Oryzias latipes: one gene and its partner. The protein of the gene in region 1 purifies or fractionates together with the protein of each later gene. This does not show direct contact. Links are inferred from orthologs where the notes say so. Each region holds a gene or a part of one and is shown on either strand. Other genes may lie near its edges.

What was found. The genes of interacting proteins can lie anywhere in the genome.
Region 2: the proteins of pomk (region 1) and tmem59 purify together in Homo sapiens (affinity purification with mass spectrometry; 3 studies listed by BioGRID and IntAct, with this or other methods). This does not show direct contact. The link is inferred for Oryzias latipes from reciprocal best matches to the Homo sapiens genes POMK and TMEM59.

Annotation. Positions count from the first base shown.
Region 1 is NC_019870.2:26,977,461-26,981,506, reverse strand, and holds the start of pomk (protein O-mannose kinase), read left to right. Parts: upstream 1-1,246; 5' UTR 1,247-3,093; coding exon of another isoform or gene 3,094-3,099; 5' UTR 3,100-3,450; coding exon 3,451-3,606; exon of another isoform or gene 3,607-3,736; coding exon 3,737-4,018; intron 4,019-4,046. Other genes in the region: pam (peptidyl-glycine alpha-amidating monooxygenase), read right to left, coding at 485-495, 710-840. UniProt on the Homo sapiens protein: Protein O-mannose kinase that specifically mediates phosphorylation at the 6-position of an O-mannose of the trisaccharide (N-acetylgalactosamine (GalNAc)-beta-1,3-N-acetylglucosamine (GlcNAc)-beta-1,4-mannose) to generate phosphorylated O-mannosyl trisaccharide (N-acetylgalactosamine-beta-1,3-N-acetylglucosamine-beta-1,4-(phosphate-6-)mannose).
Region 2 is NC_019875.2:30,980,302-30,984,452, forward strand, and holds tmem59 (transmembrane protein 59), read left to right. Parts: upstream 1-1,351; 5' UTR 1,352-1,422; coding exon 1,423-1,587; intron 1,588-1,694; coding exon 1,695-1,800; intron 1,801-1,898; coding exon 1,899-1,993; intron 1,994-2,098; coding exon 2,099-2,251; intron 2,252-2,325; coding exon 2,326-2,398; intron 2,399-2,657; coding exon 2,658-2,781; intron 2,782-2,882; coding exon 2,883-3,000; intron 3,001-3,229; coding exon 3,230-3,382; 3' UTR 3,383-3,926; downstream 3,927-4,151. Other genes in the region: lrrc42 (leucine-rich repeat-containing protein 42), read right to left, coding at 4,012-4,151.

The sequences.
Region 1 (4,046 bases):
AAGAAACTGTAGAAGCTCAGAGGTTCTGCCTGCAGCGAAACCTGATCTCTGGAGAGTCCAAACGCTCTTCTCCTGTGTTTTGGATATACTTCTCCTGCAGCAGGGCCACATCTGCAGCAGACAGTAGGTTTACATCTGCAGCAGGTCCACATCTGCAGCAGACAGTAGGTTTACATCTGCAGCAGCAGGGAGTTCAACTTCGTTTATGACCGGAAGTCGTCCGCAGCCACAGACCTTCCGATCCCCGGGGACCCGAAAGGCTGACAGCGAGGCTCAGTGAGGATCGATGGGGACCGAAGGCAGAGCGGTTCTCACGATCCGCTTCTCGGTGACTCATCGCTGTGGGGGGTGGGAGTGGGAGGGGGGACCGAGCCGGAGCCGAACCAACCACCACACCACAGAACACACAACAAACCGGACCGGAACAAATACGATCAGCAGGGATAACCCGGGAAAAGAAAGCGGTACCCGCGCTGCAACACACCTGAGCCGTACCTGAGGAGGAAGAGGAGGAGAGGATCAGGATGCGGAGCTGTTGTGTGACGTAGCTCCCCAAGGTTAGCTAGCGTTTAGCTCCTCGGTTTGTCGTTTCCGCGATTTCTTGACAGATAATTAAACAGAACCGTGCAACCGGAAACGAACAAGAGCTCGCGCCTCTTTGTAAACCAGTTCGAGGACCAACGTCCCACAGGCACGTTCAAACTGATACCTGTCTGCGCACACGTCCACTCTGCCTGTGACGTCGGTCTGTTGAAAACAGCAGTGACGCCAGCACTTCCTGTTTTCAGAATAAAAGCAGCTTCCGCTGCGGCAGCTAGTGCTAGCTAGCATCGTTAGCATTTCACAGTTACAATGGTTCGATTATCTGTAATAAATAAAAAAAATACAATACACTCAGTCGGATCGGAACCCACTCACATGCAAAACGTCTGAAACTTTCTGTGGAAATTTAGTTAACTGACAGTTTTCATCTTATTTGCTGTTTGTTGACAGTTTTCCTCTTATTTTCTGCTTTTTTTTGTAACCAGAAAAACAACCTAAAAATGTAGTCTTTAGTAAGCATGACCGATTTCAATGTTTAAATCCAAATTTAATTTAAAGCACGAGTTCTGAATAATTGGATTGGATAAAGGACTCTAATCTGGAATGATTCATGACAACTGTTTTGAAAATGTATATGATCCAGGAAAATGTTAAAATTTTGTATTTTCATATATCTTTGTTTCATTGTAGACCATGACATTTTCAGACATTTTAAATGAGTAAAGTAAATAAATAAATCAGCCTATGTCCACAATGCACCTCTTTATCTATAAATTGGGAATGTGAAGTTTAATTCTCATAAATGTTACAGTGTGATTTGTCAAAAATCAAAATTCACACTGAAATGAACTGTTACTATGTTTTGGGGAATGTTTCGTTACTCGTTTCTTTCACCGAAAAACAAAAAAAAAGTAGCAATAGTGTTAAAATAAAGAATAGATGGATTTGAAAACTGACTTCAAAGAGGTCCCAGTTCTGCAAGAGAAATGTCCTCTTCGCTTAAGCCCCTAACCCTGAATTTTTTTCCAGATGTTTTACCACATGTTTATGCTTTCAAGTAGATGCTAAACTAAGGTAATTTTGGAGCAGAAATATGCATCAATAGGTGTCAAGGGGGTTAAGAACATAGCGACTCAAAAGGGAAAAAACAATAAAGAGACTTGTGTTTATTTGGCAGCAACACAGAAAATCAAATCTACAGGCAAAAGAGAAGGTTTTGTAAAATATCTACACATGTGAAAGGGATATAAAAATGTATACTTTTTTCACATTGTCATCTGGGTTTTTCTGGTTGAGTCATTGCTTCATCACCAAAGGTTCCCTCTAAACCAATCAGCTCACAGCAGCGTAAGTCACCTGCTTCCTCTTTATCTAGCAATGTTGGTGTGCGAGGAAGCTGATAACCAAATCGCTGACCTCGCATGACCATTTTAACTCTCCCAACTCCTCTGAGATGAGAAGTCAGAAATGTGGTTGAGAAACCTCACATGACATGCAGTCTTTACACAACAGCTGAATAAACCACATCTGCTCTGGAGGTGAAACGTGTTTTATAGAGGAGACGTCCTCACAACTGCAGCCGTTGTCCAGGAAACGCAGAGATGAACTGAAGGATCGCAGCTTCATCACAATGTTTCAGCAAAGAGCAGGAAAAAACAAATTCTTCATGTTCTTAGTCAAATCAAACCGTCTCTGTATCACAAGAGAGCAAACGAGGAGAACACCATCTGTGGAGCTTTTTGAGCTCCTGCATGAACAACAGTCACAGTCCATCTGAGGAAACGCCGAAGCTCTTCATCATATTTGATGGTTTCTCCACTCGTGTTTTATGTTGTTTCTACCGGAACAAACCGTGGAGTGGCCGTTTTTGTGGACATACACAAATGTTTCCTTAATACCAAACCATCTTTTTTCATTTGTTACCATCATGGAAAAGAAAACTGCTATAAATTTCATGTGTCATTTACAGTTTATGGATAATCCCTAATTTGTAACTGCTTCTTGTCATGTCTATAGGTTATATCCCCTTTTTATCTTATATTATGCATTTACTTGGCCTACTGTGAATTCTCTTATTGACCCTTTAGCATTGCTATGTTTTCTGTTCCGTCTGTTCCGACTCTCATTTGTTGATTTTACACCTTTGCCACAACTGTTGTAAACGTTATCATTTCTCGTGGACACTGAGGTTCTTTGATGTCCCAGAGGTTCCTGATGTTCTGCCTTCAGACTAAAAGCAGGGCACAGGCTGCCCCTGGTCCGGGTGGTGCAGGTGGATGAAGCCAATGAGTTATATCGCTCATTGGATGAAGCCTTTCTTCTACCACCAGCCCAGCAGGGGGCGCTGCAGCCTCGAAGAAACCCGCGCGCGTCCAGCGCCATAGCAGAAAAGAAGCTGCTCGTGAGCGCGCGCGCCGAGGGGGGCAGATATGCCAGAAACACGCGCGTACGTGGAGCTTTCCGGATCATGAGAGACCCAGGAGAAAAACTCACGTTGGATCGGGAGTGCGAGCACACTGAAGAGGAGAAGAGCGGGAGGAGACTGTTGACATGGCGGTGAGTGACGTCACTGCGTTACCTGGCGACGGCGTATTTATGTCCGTCGATGTTGTGCGGTGAAAGCGCGTGTCGTTCCGCGGAGCCGCAGGGAGCCATCCATCCATCCATCCATCCACCCCTCTGTCATCTGCGCAGACGCAGACTCGCTGCCGACCGCCACTGCGGTAGAATGATGCAGTCTGCTTCTGCAGGTCACATCTGGTCCTGGATCAGCTGCACGGTCCGCTTCACCCGCAGAACAGCTCTCAATGGTTCTGATAGAAACCCTCAGCATTCTTGTGGGTGTTTGAGTCAGCAGGTTGAGGCTGGTTCTGGTGGTTCTGATGTGTTCGTGTTGGACCACTACGAATGCCGGACCTAATCTTTCTGTCTGCTGACTGCTGTTGTTCCTCTAAAGCAGTGACCTCTTCTGCTGGGAGCTGCAGCCCCGAGGGGGCGGAGCTTCCACGTGTTGCCATCACATCTGCAGAGAGACATCACGTGCACGTGTTCACAAGAACCTCAGTAAGAGAGCAGAGTCTGCTGAGCAGTAATCCCTTCCAAGAGTAGAGTAATAGATGACAGCAGCCAATCATTGGTCAGAATTAAGCCTCCGTTCTCTGGTTTCCACTTACTTTTGTTTTTGTGTCTGCAGAGGATGCCGGGCCGTCTGTCGGGCCAGCGCAGCAGAACCTCCCTTAGTCTGGCTGGACTCATGACCTGCCTTGCTGCCTTGCTCGTCAGCACTGGGGTGATTTACCTGTATGTGGACTCCCTGCAGGGCGCGGCCGAGCAGGCCGGTTACCCTCAGACCGCCTGCAGACCAGGACACTTTAAAATCTCCAGCATGAAGAGCTGCGCAGCCTGGCTGCAGTGTGCCCAGGTGCGTGCAGACGTCCGGCAGCTGAAGCTGATCGGCCAAGGAGCCGTGAAGAAGGTGAGATCACAGGTGAAACATCTGTAAC
Region 2 (4,151 bases), on another chromosome or scaffold:
CACATTCAATCATGATAAAACATCGCGAGAAAAGGGGAGGACGCACGTTAAAAGTTCTTATAGTTAAAGTAATAAATTACAGAAACGGTTGGTGCTAAATAAAGGAAATCTGTGTATTTTGTTACTCTTTCTGCAAACAGTGGATCACTGAAGTAACAATGAACAAGGTTTATTTTATACCAATGGTAACTGAAACCAGCAGCATTCATATTACCTTATTAGAAACTAGTTTACTTGAAAGATTTTATTTTTTTAAACATTTTCTACGGATAATCATTTTGTTTTTAATGATAAACATCATACAAACATTTGCATTCATGCAACAAAAAGAACTCAAAAATCATCTGTGGTTATATTTTATTGTTGCCTTTAAAGGTTAAGGATAACATTCAACACATGAGTAAAGGAAATGCATATACAAGACAATTAAAATACCCATTGATGATAAAAATAGGCTACATAGCATTGATCATACTAAGGGGCAGAACAATTTTTAAATTCAATCGAATGTTAAAAGTTTTTTATTGATTCAAGCCATTTTCAGCAATAAAAACAAGAAAAGACAATAAAGATCAAACTAAACATTTATAAAGATATCTTATCTCCTTACATCTTATATCTATATTCTTAATCAATTATAACATACAATTGTAATATAATTTGAGATATTACAAGGTCTTTACCATGCAAAATCAACTTTTTGAGCTTTTAAGTTTATTTTAATGTCCGTTCCTTCCAAAAAACAAACCCTAAGCTGTATTTTGATCCATTCATCTGTCTTCATCTGCTTCCAGAACGCGGGTTAAAGTAACTGCATCTACTCGTGAGAAAAAGAAAAAAAGAAAGAGGGGATCCTCTTACATCCACGGTAAATTTGCTGCCTGAACTGAAGCACAAATGCAGGATTTGTCAGAAAAATGAACCTGAGCGGCTCTGCTGGTGGCATGACATGGTTATCACCAGCATCATGCTCAATGCACGGATCAGAGACGGACAGAGAATGCTGACATCAACAACCATAACAGAAGAGTGAAATCTTACCAGCAATACTTTTAAATACTTCGTTACAGTAAAGCTGAACATGTTTCTGTTCTGTGTTGTTTCTGTTATCAGTGACTCTCACCACAGCTGCCTTCATGCTCCTCCCATGAACTGTTATGGCTTCTGTCTGTATTTTATGTTAAAGATGTCTTAAAAATTCCCCAGCTCCCTCAATATTCTACAAACGGGTCTGAAATGGGAATTAAAATAGTAAACAATTTTTTAAAAAGCGTCTAAAAGTGGTTTTAATTAATCACTGTTGTACGTTTTCCAGTACTCCGTGAACGCGACATTGAGCATCGCGAGAGTTCGGATCGGGACGAGACTTCAGAGCGCTTAAGGAGGACTGGGAAGCGGATCCTGTTTGTTTTCGTAGAGAAAATGGTTTCTCTCTCCGCTTTCAGCCTCACCTGCGGACTCCTGGTCCTCCTGTGTTCCGGCCTCGCGGCGCTCGCGGCCTCGGACGTGTTTGAAACCGTTCTGGGGAGCACCGCGTCCTGCCGCGGCTCCTGTGAAATGACCTATAGTCTGCATACGTACCCGCGGGTGAGTGTCGGGACGGCGGCTCGGTCGGAGCGGCTGGCGATGTCGCTGTTTGGGGCGGGCCTCCGCCGCTGAGCGCCCCCGGTAACCGCTCCGGTGTCCGTCCACAGGAGGAGGAGCTGTACGCCTGCCGGAGGGGCTGCCGCCTCTTCTCCATCTGCCAGTTCGTTCGTGACGGCGGGGATCTGAACCGGACCAAGTCCGAATGTGAAGCCAGTAAGACGAGCCGCACGAGCGCGGCTCCCCGCGCGCGATGCATCCAGCCAGGTAGTCCTGAAAAGGTGATGTCTCTAAACGCTTCTGCTGACCCGCAGCCTGCCAGGAGGCCTACAGCCAGTCCGAGGAGCAGTTTGCCTGCAGCCTGGGCTGCCAGAACCAGCTTCCGTTCGCAGAGCAGAGGCACGAGCAGGTAACGAACTCCACCCGCGCGGGCGCACGCCCCACCTGCAGCCGCACGCCCCACCTGCAGCCGCACGCCTCACCTGCAGCCGCACGCCTGTCTCTGTGTTCTTAGCTGGAGATCATGGTGCCCAGGATCCACCTCCTGTACCCCCTCACGCTGGTCAGAGGCTTCTGGGATGACGTCATGAGTCAGGCCCACAGCCTCATCACCTCCACCTGGACCTTTTACCTCCAGGCTGATGATGGAAAAGTGGTCATTTTCCAGGTGAGAGCCGAGTCGCGCCGTTAGCCTTTGTCCAGGTGAGCCCGGTCATGGAAAGCAGCTCTTCTGCCCAACAGGCTGAACCTCAGGTGAAGGTTTTCCCCTGGTTTGGTCCGGACAGCAGAGCTGAAGACGACCTGCAGCAGATCTGTAAGCCTCCCTGATCTAAGTGAACGCACAGCTCTCATCCAGAGCTCACAGGTCGGCCTTTTTGTTAGAATCCCGCTACACGCATCCATGTGTTCCTGTGCAGAACCGCCTCCACGTGTTTATGGCTCTAATGTTCATTTGTGTGGCGCGTGTCATTTCTGGGGGGGGGGGCTCTGTGGAGGTGGACTTCTAGCTTCTGAACGCCACAACAGCCGAGCTCTGCTCTTCCCACACGCATAACCATCTCCTGGTTTCTCAGCTCCCGGACTCGGCAGACCCGTCTACAGGGAATACGACCGCGCACTCATCCAGGAGCGAGACAGAGACGTGACCGGCGTCCAGAGCTTCTACGACGAATACAACCTCTTCAGCTGTCTCTCAAGGTTTGTGCGCACGCTCGGGCCCGTCACCAGGAGACGGCACCGTCAGCTGAACGGTGCGACACCGAGGATCTGCTGGGTCACCGTTCCTGTTCTCTCTGCAGGAACCCCTGGCTGCCTGGATGGATCCTGACCACCACTCTGGTCCTGTCGGTGTTGGTCCTCGTTTGGATCTGCTGTGCTACCGTGGCGACGGCTGTGGACCAGTATGTTCCTTCAGAGGTAGGTCTGCCGCAGCATCAAACCCAAATGTTTTCTGAGAGAAGGGACGGGTTGTTCTTCAAATACAGTTTTCTCCATTGGGTTTGAATAGAAACTATAGAAAATCAATGGATCACTGAGTCATTTCTCCAAAAGCTTTTCAAACAGTCGGTGGACCGGAGGGACCTGATGTCCTGCAGACCCTTAGTGAGGGTTGGTAGAAACTCAAGCCTCAATAATGTTTCTACAGAAACTCAGCATCTATGGAGACAGCGAGCATCTCCCAGAGAAGAAGCTGACCCCTTACCCAGCATCCTCTCTGCTCATCATCACCTCCAAAGGGCTGGATGAAAAGGCAGGACCCCTCCCTACCAAGGTGGACCTGAACCGGTCCAGCATTTAGACGCTGCTGTGCAGAAGAGAACGTGGTTGATTTGAAACTTCTGCTCTAACCCTGCAGTGCTGATGGCTGTTTTCTATCGAGTGTCTTTCCTCCATCTCACCTTCAGGGAAACAAACGTGTTTTTATATGATTGAGGCATTAGGACATGGTGGTGGACGTGAAGACGGTTTTTCATTGTTAGCTCCCTGCTTTATTTTATTTCTATTAAAGGTTTGAATTCTGACATGTTTCCTCCTGCTCAGTAAAACCTGCTTATGGATGTGGCTCTGAAGATCTCCATGTGGACGGTACAGAGAGGAACGCTCTCCGGCTTCAGTGTTCTCTTAATGACGAGTCAGAATAAACATGACAGTCTCTGTTCTGATTTTATTCCTTTAAAAACATCTCGGAAGAAGCATTCCTTCAGCAGCGACTCGGCTGCGTTTCCCCCAGTCCGTGTTTGTGACTCGGATCTAAAGGTTCATTTATGGCAGTGGTTCCTGGTTTCTATCCTTTCGGATCTCCTGCCGTTAAGCTGCAATAATAAAATGACAACGGTCCAACATTTCCACGCGTCTGGTGTTTCTGTGCCTCCGGTGATGGCTGCTCTGCTTTTGTGGAAAGCTGCACGGCCGCCTGCGTCTCCTCCCTCAGTAGCTGCTCAGCAGATCCATGTCCTCTGCAGTCAGAGCTGAGGAGACGCCACGCTTTCTCGGGGGGCTCTGGTGGGAGACGCCACGCTTTCTCGGGGGGCTCTGGTGGGAGACGCCACGCTTTCTCGGGGGGCTCT